2 linked regions of the Schizosaccharomyces pombe genome follow. Each later gene encodes a partner of the first gene's protein in a complex. Each region holds a gene or a part of one and is shown on either strand. Other genes may lie near its edges. A codon is read from its position in the direction of its gene.

Region 1 (8,437 bases):
CTTTTGCCTTGACACACACCACGCAACGTGTTACGGTTCTTGAACGGAATTGCGTACTTCGATGCAGAGCGCTATCGGGGGGATTGGGGATGGTAAATGGAAGAAATCAAAAACTTCTTTTGACGTCAACCCCTAAAACAGGGGACGGTGATTGGTGGTAACCACGGACCGGATAGGTATCGATATGCACATCAGGTGAGAAGTTTTTCCGAGGCCAACTCCGGCTCCATGGTATATAATAGAGGGTTGCGCGCTACTGTTGCAGTATCATACTTCCAAAGGTCGTATAGAACACACACACAAATTAGCAAAATGGGAATTCTCGATATTGTACCTACTGGTGTTATTACAGGTGACAACGTTTTAAAGTTGTTCACCTACGCTCGTGAGCACGGATTCGCCATCCCTGCCATTAACGTCACCTCCTCCTCCACTGCTATTGCTGCTCTTGAGGCTGCTCGTGAGGCTCGTTCCCCCATCATCTTGCAAACCTCCAACGGTGGTGCTCACTTCTTTGCTGGTAAGGAATCCTCCAACGAGGGCCAAAAGGCCTCCATTGCCGGTTCCATCGCCGCTGCCCACTACATCCGTTCCATCGCTCCTTTCTTCGGTGTCCCCGTCGTCATGCACTCTGACCACTGCGCCAAGAAGCTTCTCCCCTGGATGGACGGTATGTTCGAAGCCGATGAGGCCTACTTCAAGATTCACGGTGAGCCTCTTTTCTCTTCTCACATGCTTGACTTGTCCGAGGAGCCCAAGAAGGAGAACATTGCTCAAGTTAAGGAGTACTGCAAGCGTGCCGTTCCCATGAAGATCTGGATCGAGATGGAGATCGGTATCACTGGTGGTGAGGAAGACGGTGTCGACAACTCTCACGTCTCCCACACCGAGCTCTACACTCAACCCGAGGACATCTGGGATGTCTACCGTGAGCTCTCCTCCGTTACCCCTTACTTCTCCATTGCCGCCGCTTTCGGTAACGTCCACGGTGTCTACAAGCCCGGTAACGTCAAGCTCCAACCCGCTCTTTTGGGTCAACACCAAGCCTATGTTAAGGAGCAACTCAAGACCACCAACGACAAGCCCGTTTTCTTCGTCTTCCACGGTGGTTCCGGTTCCTCTGTCAACGAGTTCCGTACTGGTATCAAGTGCGGTGTCGTCAAGGTCAACATTGACACTGATACCCAATTCGCCTACGTCGAGGGTGTCCGTGACTATGTCTTGAAGTACAAGGACTACCTTATGACCCCCGTCGGTAACCCCGAGGGAGCTGACAAGCCCAACAAGAAGAAGTTCGACCCTCGTGTCTGGATCCATGAGGGTGAGAAGACCATGACCAAGCGTGTTCTTACCGCTCTTGAGGACTTCTACACTGTCAACACTCTCTAAATTTGTGGTTTTTGAAAGATGGAAATGATTGAATAGACGGTGGGCTTCATTAAAATTATATTTTTTTGTCCCCTTAATGAGAGTTCATACTGTTTTGAAATTACGTGTTTGAATATAGAGACATTGTTTTTTAAAATTACCATTGTAAAAGCATAAGAGATATTTGAAGTAAAGTAGGGCAAAGTAAGTTAAGAAATTTTTTTGGATTGGATTTGTAAAGTGTTTTTCAAGCATACTGTATATTGTTAAGATTTTTCTTTTTATCCTTTTATTCATCTTCCTTAATTGGTTAATGTGTTCTTAGGTATATAAATTTACAAAAAAAAAATTTCCGATTCCACATGACAATGAATGAATAAATAATATGTCCGTGCGTTTATTTGAATTTAATATATATCGTTTGGCAAATCTCGATGAGTAGCTTAAAACAACATAATCGCTTGAATTTCATGTGCTTTGTGTACACAGTGTGCATTGTTTAGTAGATCAACTTTTTCTTCTTTCATTGCAATGAGTACGGGCATTTTCCCTTTTCCTCCATATTTCACGAATCCATGTTTTTTTTAGATAACCCTTTCTCAATCAAAACTCAGCATGCTTCTTCAGACTTGACCACTTATATTGTCAGTACACTACTGCTCCTTAAAAGCTTACTCCAAGTCAAGACATCAAGGTTGGAGCAATCATTCTCTTCATGAGGTACTATGGCTGATTTTCTTGCTAGAGATTATCGCTCTCAAGGTGAGGCGGCGCATGAAATGCTGCCGACTTTCCTTATAGGAAAAATCTTGAGAGAACGCATAGTAGATTCTATTTACTGGAAAGAACAATGTTTTGGATTGAATGGTATGTGTTCTTCATTGACAGAAAAGGAAAGTGTTTTTACATATTAGAGTTCAAGTACGATTACTTTCCAAATCGATATTTTGAGTGATATAGCCTAAATGAACTTGATTTGGCAAGCAAAGAAACCAAGTATAGGTACTTGCTGTTTTAATCAGTCCTCAAACTGTTATTCCAAATTCACTGACTAATACATCTTAGCTTGTTCATTGGTGGATCGTGCAGTACGGCTTGAATATATAGGTGGTCAGTATGGAAATCAACGGCCCACCGAGTTTATCTGTTTGTTATACAAGCTTTTACAAATTGCACCTGAAAAAGAAATAATTCAACAGTACCTATCTATTCCTGAATTCAAGTATTTACGTGCCCTGGCTGCATTTTACGTTCGGCTTACATGGGATGATGTGGAAGTGCATCAAACGTTGGAACCGCTGTTAAGAGATTATCGGAAATTAAGAATTCGTACTAATTCTGAGATCCGATTAACATATCTGGATGAGGTTGTTGATGATTTGCTAAATGCCGAAGTAGTTTGCGATATTTCCCTGCCCCCATTGCGAAGTCGACTCCAACTTGAAGATTTGGACTTGCTTGAACCACTTTCATCTTCTTCAGACGAAGAAGATGATGATGAAGAACAAATTAGTAAATTGGAGAGCAATGAAGGTGCTGTAGATCGGAATATTTAAGGATAAGTAATATACAAAAAAAGAGTAAAGCGAAGCACGCATTTTGTGATGCGTCTACGATTTAACTTGGAATGACTCTACAAGGAAAAGTTATGGATTGAAATGGTTTTACACTTGAACTTATTAAAAAACAATTTATGAATAACAAACATCTAATCAAATAGATTTGTATATTAATATATATCGATTTCACATATTATCGCAAATACGCTATTTTTTCTTGTAAACAAATTTCGATAGACTTAGTTTACAGCACACTAAATATTTATAAAATGTCTTTGATACGCCACGGAATTTTTTTCACACCATACTTTAACGAATCACCCCATTCCGTCTATTTTCTTACGTTTCGTTAAAAACATGTCAGTCCACTTCTTTTTTGCTCACATATGAATTAACACGACTTTTCTCTTTCATCCATTACCATACTCGAGCAATCCTAACTTTGCTTATCGGGTGATCGATTTTAAATTTTTTTACTTATAGGACGTCCAGTAGCCTTTATAAGTTCATTGACAACAATTGGGTTGTTGCTGAGAGTTTGTTTACTGCGCTCGACTCTTGCTATAACCTAATCTTAAACGATTATCAAGCTGGATTTCCTTCTTGCTAAGAACATTATTTTATTTTACAACTCATTCAAGAAATTATTTTGCTATCTATCGCCTTGGATAGCTTTTAATGCGTCAAATTTTGGATAATTTGTAGCTCGATTAGAAAATTCGCTCAACATCCTATACAGTCACAGAGATAAAAAACCCTAAGAGTTAAATTCAATTTCTCTTTATTGTTGGATTTTTTAACTCGCTGTTAAATTCCGCTTGGTTCTAGCTGGAAATTTTGTTAAATATGCAAAGCTCAATTCCGTCAGTTTCCGTGTCGGTCGCTTCTCCTGCAATGGAAACTCCAACAAAAGCTTCGCCTGACAGCAAATCACCCAATTCAGTGGGTGCGATTCCTTCTTCATCCCCTTTGGCTTCATCGACAAAGGCTTCAACTTCTACTCCCTTTGTGGAGAATTGTTCCAATCTGTTGTGTGATTTGGCTAGCATTGTCGAGGACTCACCTCCAACCTTGACCAACACCTCGTTGTCTCCCCATTCGTTTTCCCTTTCTGATATGGAGTCATCAATGAGCAATTGGCTTAACCCTTTTGCGTTCGACAATACGATGAACTCGGCGCCTCCTCTGTTTACTTCGACCAACATGGGCTCCCCTAACTCGTTAGAAAACTCTACAAATCCTCTTCTCTCTAATTGCGGCTCTCCAAATTCATTTCAGAATGAGACCTTTACCGGCCCATCATTGAATGAGTTCGATGCCGATGATAAAATTCAGCGCCAAATGAAAATCCTTCACTCTGTTGATACAATCGATCCATCGACTGTTCAAAATTATCCTTCAGCTGATATGTCAAATCCAGAAGTCAAATTGAAAACCGAAGAAATTATTACACCCATGGACACCACTTGCAAGCCTGAACCTTCTGCCAAGAAAATAAAGTTGTCTCCTTCCTCGGAAGATTCTTGCTCAATTCCTGAAACATTACCTTTTTCGGCCCCCAAGTCTAGAGGCTCATTATCTCCTTCTGAAACCCCAGATTTTGTAGCCGGTCCTGGAGGAAAACCAAAGAAGACAGCTCATAACATGATTGAGAAGAGATACAGAACCAACTTGAACGACCGAATTTGTGAATTGCGTGATGCAGTTCCTTCACTTCGTGCTGCTGCTGCACTTCGTTGTGGTAATTCTCTGGACGATGAGGATTTGGGGGGTTTGACACCCGCTCGTAAGCTTAACAAGGGTACAATATTGGCAAAAGCAACTGAGTATATCAGACATTTGGAGGCCAAGAATAAGGAACTACAGAAGACTAACAAGCAGCTTTCAGATAGGCTGGCTTTCTACGAAGATCCTTCGATGGCTCCTCCTTCTAACGATACTCGAGCCGTTAACTCTGTTAATGTTGTTTCCTCATCTGACTATTCTGTTCACCAATCTTCTCGACCAAACCTAACCCAAAGAGCTTTTACTTCCCCAACCCTAAATACCATGGGCCGCACAGCACTAAATGGCATGGTTGGACTTGGTCTATTCAATTATTTTGGAAACGATTCTTCTCAATCTGTTTATGGTTTATTCGCTCTTCCACCTTTTCTTATGTCTCCATTCACAGGTACTGTTCTCTTTAACATGCTGAAAATTGGTGTTGTTTTACTCGGTTTATTCTATCTTTTGCACGATAACTCTCTTTTCAAAGGCTTCAAGGGTGAAAAGAAATCTAAAGTTAGTACCAGATCTTCCATGTCACCATCCTCAATCTTATTCCGAAAAACCGTATTCGAAAAGTATTGTTTATTGGACCATTCTACTTCGACTATTTCTCTATTTTTTGGATTACTGATCTTCACTCTTAAATCTGCTTATGGCTATTTGACTCATCGTTTGAGTGCTCTTTATACCTCCTCTGAGAATTGGGTTTATAGTGAGCAACAACTTGCTGAAGTTCGCAACATGGAAAAGCTTTTGGATGCCCAATTAATGGGTGGTGATGCTAAAGTTGACCGTTTGAGGCTCTTAATGGTATTTGCCAGTTCATTTTCTCTTCCTCCTTCAAGTCATACTTGTGCTTTACAAGCAATGTATTGCCAACTAATTTTTTCCAACACCTCTGTCCCATCCGCTATCGTTTCGAAGTGCGTTGCTTTCTTCTGGAATGCTGCAAAGAAACAACATAGCAAAAGTTCTGTACACGCGGAGTTACGTGAGCTTCCTGAGTGTACTGCTAACCTAATTGAAAACTCCCACGCTGACGACGTTTTCTCTCCGAATATGGTTGAGCGATTGTGGGTTCTAGCAAAGTGCACCCGTGACTCTGCTCAAATGTCAGATAGTATTATTAGCTCCTTATCTGATGTTTTGGTTTTATCTCCTCTAGAGGTGCTTGCCTCATGGTATGCCGCTGATTTGTTGGATGCCCTTTTGATGGAAAGTTTGAGCCGTAAAGTTGAGATATCCGAGATTGAGGAAATTATTTCCCTTTGTCCTAAGAACTCCTCTATTATTCGTCATGCTTTACTAGCTAAATTGGTTTTGTTCCCCGAGAATACAGCTGATTCTTTGAATGAAGTCCTTGCAGCATACAAGAACACTTTGGATTTATGCAGCCAAGATAAACGCAAGCAGTCAAGCGTGTTAAAGATCAACTTATCCAAGCTATTCACACTCCACTCATGCCTATCATTAGCACTCCAACGCCTTGGATACGGGGATGTTTCTAAACGTATGTATCAGGAAATCTTTGTACCTGATAGTGATGCAGACATTACACCTTTATCTTTTATTATTTCCTGGACCGCTTTGAACACTTTTGCTCCTATTTGCACATCTCCAAAGGAAAACGATGTCGTTGAAAAGATGGCCATGTACGTGCGGACGGCCATCGGAACTTTGAAAATTCAAGATTTGAAATTATCTCGTAAGTTAATCAACTCTTGCATAGATATTGGATCTCGCTTACAAGAAGATTTGGGTTATGTTTCATCAGCTTAAATTGTCGATTCTCGAGCTTTGAGAACAGTTAGTATACAACGCTCATCTATTGCAACTACCTTATTATTTTCCATGATTGTTATTTCATCAGTTATTTTGCGTATCATTTTTTAGTTTTAATTATTCTTTTAATAAATTACAGTTGTCGTCGGTAAGAGCAGTGATAAAAATATGCAATTAGAGTTATTTTGTTGTATCAAGCTAGCACAATTCACCATTTGAGTATATTTGGTGATTAAATAAAATGAATAGAGTACAATTTGAGGCATGCTAAGGTTCATCGAACTAACTATTTTTTTAAATAATGACACATTGGCAAGATTAAAAAATTGGATTCTTCTCTTGCAGTTAACTCTCTGCTGTTGATGAAGATGTGTTGAATCTTAGACTGCTGATATCCATTTTATACCAATTGTATAAAAAAAAGAATGTCAATTATTAATAAAATGGAAATGCATAAGATAGATAAGAGTGGTCTGAAGTTTTACGGTACAGTACGTAGTTCCGTCCTTACTGAAATCTCGGGAGTAATACGAACCATTCACCAAAGGTAAACAAACTACCAAATTGTTTTTATGTATTATTTACTACTATATTGGTTAACTTATTCTGAATCCTACAACCTAAAATAAAAATAAATAGACTCGCTTTTATTATTTGTCGATTCAAGAACTTAGCTCTCCTTTGAAGATGAACAAACATTTTGCAAAGCTTTCACAATGGACCGGTGAAAAATTTGGTTTTGATCGTCAGAAGACTACATTATCTGATGATTTTTGTTCCTTGAAAGGTGAAACGGATGCCTGGCTTGTGGGAATGGATAAAATTCATAGAAGTTGCACAAGATGGGTACGGAATATGGATAAACGAAAGGGCCTGCTCGACGAGAAAGATAAGCAATTACCTGTTACTCACGTTGGATCGTCTTTTGTAGAGTTAGGGCAAGCATTATCGCATTCTTCAAGCAATTCGCACACTTATATCATGTACGGAAAAAGCATGGTTGAAATAGGGCACCTACAGGAGGAGTTTATGGATTATTTGAACAATTCTTTTTTGGCAAATCTAGAAAATTCTTTAGCCGAGTTTAAGGCTTTAGATGTGAAGGAAAAGAAGATGGAAAATCGACGACTTGTCTTTGACGCGCTTTCTACAAAAATACAGAAGGCCAAAAAAGAAGAGTCAAAGCTTGAAGAAGATTTACGGAATGCTCGCGCAAAATACGAGGAGTCTCTGGAAGAGTTTGAAGACAGAATGGTTCAATTGAAAGAATTAGAGGTAAGTATTATCGTCCTAATGACATTCGTTACCAATTTGATGCCATAATTAAACGATTATTAGGCCTGCCTAACTTATCTTATATGACTCAATATTTTTGTTAACTAATTTTTAGCCTGATCGTGTCGAAAACGTTGTACGACTCCTACAGATGCAAATACGATTTCATCAAAAAAGTCTCGATTTGTTAAAGGGACTTGAGATGAACGGATTTTCCAAGAAGAGGGATAACGTTAATATTCCAAAGCGTACTTATTCCGCAAGATCTATTCCATCGAATATTTCTTCAACAAATGTTGCAACAACGCCCTCGAATACCATTTTTGAAATGGATGATACTTTAAAGGCCGATAGTTCTTCAAATGAATATCATTCTCCCACCAATACACTCCCTTCTTACCATACAGAAGCTGACCTGGACAATTCTTCCATAGCTTCTTCAAATAGAACACAGCATACTGAAGATAATTATAACAAGGATGTTTCGGATGCTCAAAATTCATTGGGGCAGTCTGCTGTAGATTTAACAACTCCCTCATCACCTCCAATCCCCCGTCATACCAAACCCAAACTGTCTACGACTCAAAGTACCCCAGTCAAACCGGCATCGTTACAAAGTGAGGAGGATATCCAGTTAAGTTTTAAACAACCGGAATTATCTGCTTCGTCGGCAGAATTGGATG
Region 2 (6,540 bases), 2.3 Mb from region 1:
ACAAAAACAGGTTCTCTGCTTTTTCTTCCCGTCTCGGCTATAATGCGATAGACTGGTTCCTTTAATGAAAGCCTTTTACATAAACGAGATAGTTGACGCCGAGGCCATTGCAATTGTAACATTGTTCTTGGGTCTAATTGTTTAGATAAGATGTGGTCATTAATAAATTTTTTAGTATCATTAAATCCCTGTAAAAACATTAGTAAACACTGATAAAAATTTCTTACTTGATGTAGGTAAACTCCGCCCAAAATTGCTAAAATGGCTCTTCGCGCTGCCTCATCTTTGTAAATTTCACCAGGCTTCCTCAGCATTTCAGGGTCAGCACGCTTCGCTAAAACTTTTCCAAATGACTCTTGTAAACCTTCTTCTCTTCTCTGTACTTCAAGACCCCAGATAGTTGCTAACTGACTCAAAGCCTTTGAGCCCATCCACCCATTTTGCATGCCATGAACTGCTTCCTCCGGCAGCCTGGGGTATTTGCACTTAATGTATTCAAGAACATAGAAATCACCAAACACTTTCCCTATTGACCAGAGTTTTTCGTTAGAATATTGGGGGTTTTGAACAACAGTCTTATCGATCAGTGCTTGAACAAGAACTTTCATTGGATAACTTTCAGGAAGTCCAATTCTTTTTTTAAGGGTATAAACTTTTGAGATTGCAATTTTGGATGAAAGAATATTTTCGATCAACGATTTGCCGCTGTTACTGTACCACCGAACCCTCGCATAGTCTTTCATAGATATGCTCCTCCGAAAGGTCGTTGTTGATCTGCTTATAAACGACATGGTATTTTTAGTTACAATTAATTATAAACTGTATGTATGCAGCATACAATAGTCGTTAAGGTGGTTATTAAACAGGTTGAGGTAAAATAGGCGGAAGATAACTTTTAAGAAGTGGGTACGCGTTCCAGAAATTCAAAACGAATTTTGGCTAATTGTCTTTAACATTGGGATTAGTTTATTAAGAAAAATCTACTATAAACAAAACAAATACAAATTTTTTAGTAAATCCATCCTAGTTTAGTTGCATGAACCTCATGGATACAAACCATAAACTTCTGAACATTAAAATTAGTGTTGTTGTCTTCCTAATTTACAATATAAAAAAAAAAATAATTATAAACAACATCTTTAATTTTAATCCACATGTTAGAATAGTTATGAACGAAAAAAAAAACATTTCATAAATTATTAAAAATACTAACAGAATCAGCAACTTCCCACAAACGTTAAGTGTCTCGTGACATTAGCAAGGCCGGCTTGCAAATGCTAACAAAATAATTGGGTAGATATTAAATAGTTAAAACACAATGGAAGCACATATTTCTTATTCAAGAACGAATGATAAGCCCTAAAGTGGTCTTATAACAATCCCGACAACCATGACATGCTAGCAAACGGTATCGCAGCTATATATACATATATATATGCACATCAACATAGGGCTAATAAACAAGAAGTACTAATTTTAACATCCGATGGTCCCCGATCTTTTTCTCTGTAAATTTTTTCTTTTGCGACGTAAAATTCTGTCCATCTCATCGGAATTTCTGATTTGGTAAAAATCACGAAAGATTTCACTTCCATAGCCGACTAGTGCAACGTAATTACCTAGAACAATGGCTACGCATCTATCAGAGACTGCAAGAGAAGGTCCAGGGTCTGCAATAATTAAAGAATTATACATCTTTAAAGATTTGCAGCGGTGCTTCTTTTCAGATTGAGAGTACATCCAAACTTCCCATACCTGGGTTTCACCACCACTATGCGTATTTTTTTTGTGTTCCATGTCTTGCATATAAGAATCTAGAAGGGGTACATAAGACGTCCAATTGTAATGGCCAGTTCGCAACTTTCGGTTACGAAGAGTAAAACCATTATCTTCGTTTTTCTCATCTGCTGTTGGACAAATCCCCGATGAACTTTTTCTTCGCATGCCAAATATGTAGAGTCCATCTGAGCTCATTACACATTCACTAGCATCTTCGACTTCATGGATATTTTCTTGTAGTTCATCAAAGGTCAAGCAAGCCAGCGAATTATCAGGATCGTGTACGTCCACAAGATTTGGCTGTTGATCCCATTTATTCAATATAATATAAGACTCATTACATTCATTACCGTAGTAATAATAAAGAACCTTTTCGGTAACAGCGTGAGTAAAACAAAACGATATTGATGACACTCTAAACTGTCCATTAACAAATCGACTGTTACTCACGCCAACTGAAAAAGTGTTTACTTTTATCGGCGGCAGTGTAAAGGAATGTAATAGTTCATCGTTTTTAAGGTCAATCATGTCGACACCACTATCTCGAGCAAGAAACAAAATGTCCGCCATTGCAATTCCATAAATATCTTTTTTTGTTTCTGTTAGATAATTTTTGTTTTGAGATAAAATCTTTGGGGACCAGACGGGTCCTTTTTTAGAATATACAGTCACTTCACCGGATTCAGTCAAACAAGCAATTCTATTAGCCGTGGGTGAAACGATACTTATTGATTTAATAATCGGAGAACTTAATTGAAACTTTTCAACCAAAGCTATATCTGCACCTTCAATTTCAATAGTCAGACTAAAAACCTGAATTTCGCCTGAGCTTTCAACAACCACTAGCTCAAAGTTTTTCCATTCATCATCTTTATGCGTACCCGGCATCCAGAACACGTTTAATTTGCTATTTGGCTTACAGTGATAGGAATGTTGAAGCATCAAGCAAGGAGATTCTACATTCAGAATGAATAAAGTATCCTTTGAGAACAACGAAACGTAGTTTCCCTGAGGATCTAAAGCTATTGCTTTTAACGTCCTGGGCATTTGTTCTTTTGAAAGTACAAGCTTTGTACACCATTGACGTAAATCCCAAACTACAAGACACCTATCTAACCCGACGGAGGCAAACGTCTTATAGTTTTCAGATACAGCAATTTTTAAAATGTCAAGCTGATGATGAACAGGAACGGGTTCTATTCTGAATTTTTCCTCATGTAATGTTGTATCGGTTGAAAGCTCGTCATGGTCAGACCAGCCTCGCAAAAGTGCTTTAACAAGCAACCCAACCGCAAAATCAATTGCGAACAGTATGCTGAAAAATGTTGACCATCTCCATACTCTCCGGTCATGAAACGAGTTGTAGACATTAGTGTAATCACGACGGTTAACAGTGTCAAGAATAACTGGTCGATACAAAGCAATAACAAGGTTTTCCGCCATCGTCTTCTCTTTTAATGCTTCTAAAAAAGTGGGGTCACCAAACCAACCGGTCGTAATCAGTGGAAATAACTTTCGTTCTCGTAAAATACGGCCTAAACGATGATATAACGTAATGAGAAAGCGAATGTTAGGAGATGCTAATCTCCAAGACCCATTGATATCTGTACTGGATTGGAGTTGTAAATAAATAACGTACATATGAAATGAAACAGTACCAAGATTATCGATAATCCATGGAGACCACATGAATCTTACGTATTCTAGATACGGAACCCACCATTTTGAGTTTCGATTAGAAGAGTTTGAATCTAAAAAATCTTGCAACTCCAAACGACGTATATCGACACTTAGGACCGCTAGAAAAAAACTTCCATGCAGTAAAAAACTAACGACGAAAGAACAGGCAAGAAACAAACAAAACTCCTGCACCAGAGGATAAACAAAGAAGCTCAAGACAAAAAGAGTCAATAACTTCTTAAGTAAGGATGAAAAGGAGGCAATAATAGTACTAGAAAACCCTTCCATTATACGAGAAGGAACACGCTTCGTCTGAGGAGAAGCGATTACTGCGCGTAAAAGTCGAAATCTGATAAGTTAGTAATAAAACGTTCACATAATGACGAAGTATAGCAAAAAAACTTACGAGTTTTCAATGTCCATAAATATGATAATATAGTAAGCCATAGGCCATGGACATATGGGGCCCGTTCTTTCAAAGAAATACAGCAAAGAACAGGTAGAGAAGTAGGCAGTACCGCTTTGAATAAATATAGTCGCTGTAAGACCAAATTTAGCACGAATATCATGCAACCGCACAAGTGACAAATACAAATATGCAAAAAGTCCGACTCCAAACCCAACCCATAGGTACCATCTGTAAATAACAGTAAGGTCAGGAATACGTGCTACGACAGTGGTAGGGGATGTATCAAGTAAACTTGCATATAGATTAGGAGTTTCGGAAATAAATTTCTTTAAAACAACATGAAAAGTATCGACTTGTTCAGGCTTTAAAAAGTAAGTAATCACAAAAGCACTAAGCGAGTCAAAACCTTCGGCTATTGTATCATTCCTAAGCTTGTTCACTTCACGCTCATTTTCAGGAAGCCCTTTAGTATATGAATATTGAGCTACAGGATCAACCTTACCATAATATTTTGGTATTGGAGAAATAGTTACACAGGATTTTTCATCTCTTATGCAAGGATACCCGTATTCCGCCAAATATTGATGGAAGCTTGTTTCCCAACGATACGCGTTTGAAAGATAGTCTTCGGAAAACACTGATGTGTTCGTTCCTAAAAGATAGAGTTGTTTCGTAATAACATTTGCTTCAGCATTGATGCTCTCGGCATACCAAGCCGACCATCTAGCTAATGATTGATCGTAAAGGGATTGCTGATACGCTACCAACGACGAATATATACCTGTGATTGATAAAAGAGTAAACACAAGAATGAAATACCAAGGATTATTGGCAATACAGTAGCTGTACTTGGCAAATAATGAAGGGTTAACTTGCCGAGCATACCCTCGTGAAATTCGGCCTTTTCCAAGAGTAAAAATCCTCATAACGATATTTTCAGTTCAATAACATTGGTAAACGTTCATTAATTAGATCTTTACAAGACCGATATACCCAATTCACTGAGAATCAGTTTTCGCAGGTCTTGGTGTTTTGTACATTCCTTCGGGACCCGACAAATTTAAATTCGGGCACACGGCGTGCAATTTCCGTACACTATTATTAATAGAGAATTATTTAATCTGAAACCAAAAGTTTCAAAAAAATGTTATAAAATAAGGAAATAAAAATTCAAATATATAATTATTGTTGGTTCCAACATTCTGCCGATACTAGCCGTATCTCAACAATATTTCCCAACGGACAACACTAATTAGCAAACTGCGGCAAGCTGCAGCAAAAAGGTCGGAATTATAATTCGTTAAAGATATGTAAATACCAATGCTATCGAAAGTATATTTATATTCAGAATTTAATTTTATAGAAAGAAGTTAGTTATTTATGGCTACCCATCGCCTCAATGAAACTAAAGATGATTTAATTACTAAAACTCTGCCAAGCATATTGCTTTTTTTCTGGATTTTTCTAAATGAGAAGGTTAAGCTGCGTAAATAATTCTTTGTTGCCTTTATAAATCGATATTCATGGCCGATGACATTTCAGCTGTAACTTGAACAGCGACATCCTTCAACTGTAAGTGATATTCTGCTACAATTGCATCTAGAGTAAGTAATTTTTGTGGAAGAAAGTTAGGGTCAGGTTCCTTGTCCACGGACATGTCTGTCACAAGAATCCATGTATCTTCTTTCGGAAGCAACTCCAGAGTGTTCAAAACAATCAAATAATGTTCTATTATAAAAGTTCTCTCCTTTTTTCCAATTAATTCTGTAGTAGAGATATACCGGCTCAGTTTTTCATAAATAATTGCTGCTGCGTCTCGATAGTTTTGATGTTTATACCGCCAACTAAACAAAATATTATACCAGCATGGTTGTGATTCAACGTTAATCATTTGAAAGGCCTTTCGCTCAAGCAAATTGTCGACGTCCTGTCTTAACGTTGGCATTGAATAATTTAGAAGCTGATTTATTTTACCTTGTTTCGTTAATTGATTTACAAAGTCTAGTAAACATGACTTTTTCAAAGGCGTAGTGGATAAAACCATCAATGCAACGTGAGCAGCGTCAAACTTTCCTGCTGCACAAGCGGTTTTTAAAGTCTCATGGGTAATTGCAATAGACAAATCTTCGTCGTCAGTCTCTTTCGAGGCATCTGCTAATAAAGAAAATTCTAATGCATCTATATATGCACTCTCCTCGAACAGCTTTTTTGATAGATGAAGGTAATAACACGATAATAGGTTCTGATGGTGGTATTTTTCAGCAATTTCTTGAAACTCCCGTAAAACTGCGAATTGAGAAGTATGTGAGTAAAGGACTAGAGAAGTAGTCTTGAAACATCGGACAGCCTTAACAGCTTCTTTCGATTTGAGATAAATAAGTGCTTTCAAGTAGACTGCAATTGGGTCAGAGTTAAGCCACCCTATTAATTGCATACATGCATTATATTGTTTGAATAGAAACAACTTTTCTACAAGTTCAGTGACCAGATCATTTTCCGTATCGTCCCTTATAAAGATTGCCGACAAAGACGATATCACGGTAGCATGTAAAGGTGAAATTTGGCTTTCTGAGAAACATTCGGAATAATTCAAAGCGGAAAAAAACTGAAGGGCTGTGTTAACACTTGCTAAAGCTTCCATAGTATTTAAATTACAGTTTGTTGAATCAACA

The links. The genes of interacting proteins can lie anywhere in the genome.
Region 2: the proteins of sre1 (region 1) and scp1 are in contact, whole or in part, in a cryo-EM structure (PDB 5GRS), measured with the Schizosaccharomyces pombe proteins. Residues at the interface, in NP_595694.1 of Schizosaccharomyces pombe: Glu855 (codon at 6,336), Met859 (codon at 6,348), Arg862 (codon at 6,357), Gly887 (codon at 6,432), Ser888 (codon at 6,435), Arg889 (codon at 6,438); in NP_596673.1 of Schizosaccharomyces pombe: Leu596 (codon at 2,952), Asp597 (codon at 2,949), Leu615 (codon at 2,895), Arg617 (codon at 2,889), Leu642 (codon at 2,814), Lys643 (codon at 2,811), Asn683 (codon at 2,691).

The regions. Positions count from the first base shown.
Region 1 is NC_003423.3:1,688,055-1,696,491, forward strand, and holds sre1 (transcription factor Sre1), read left to right. Parts: upstream 1-3,339; 5' UTR 3,340-3,773; coding exon 3,774-6,476; 3' UTR 6,477-6,637; downstream 6,638-8,437. Other genes in the region: fructose-bisphosphate aldolase Fba1, read left to right, coding at 313-1,389; U4/U5/U6 small nuclear ribonucleoprotein complex subunit PRP38, read left to right, coding at 2,094-2,235, 2,434-2,924; SPOM_SPBC19C2.10 (BAR adaptor protein ), read left to right, coding at 7,167-7,754, 7,870-8,437.
Region 2 is NC_003423.3:4,009,982-4,016,521, forward strand, and holds scp1 (Sre1 cleavage-activating protein Scap Scp1), read right to left. Parts: upstream 4,904-6,540; 5' UTR 4,795-4,903; coding exon 3,866-4,794; intron 3,809-3,865; coding exon 1,477-3,808; 3' UTR 1,167-1,476; downstream 1-1,166. Other genes in the region: mrpl3 (mitochondrial 54S ribosomal protein mL44), read right to left, coding at 1-188, 228-791; nucleoporin, WD repeat Nup120, read right to left, coding at 5,376-6,540. UniProt on the Schizosaccharomyces pombe protein: Escort protein required for sre1 processing at low sterol as well as oxygen levels.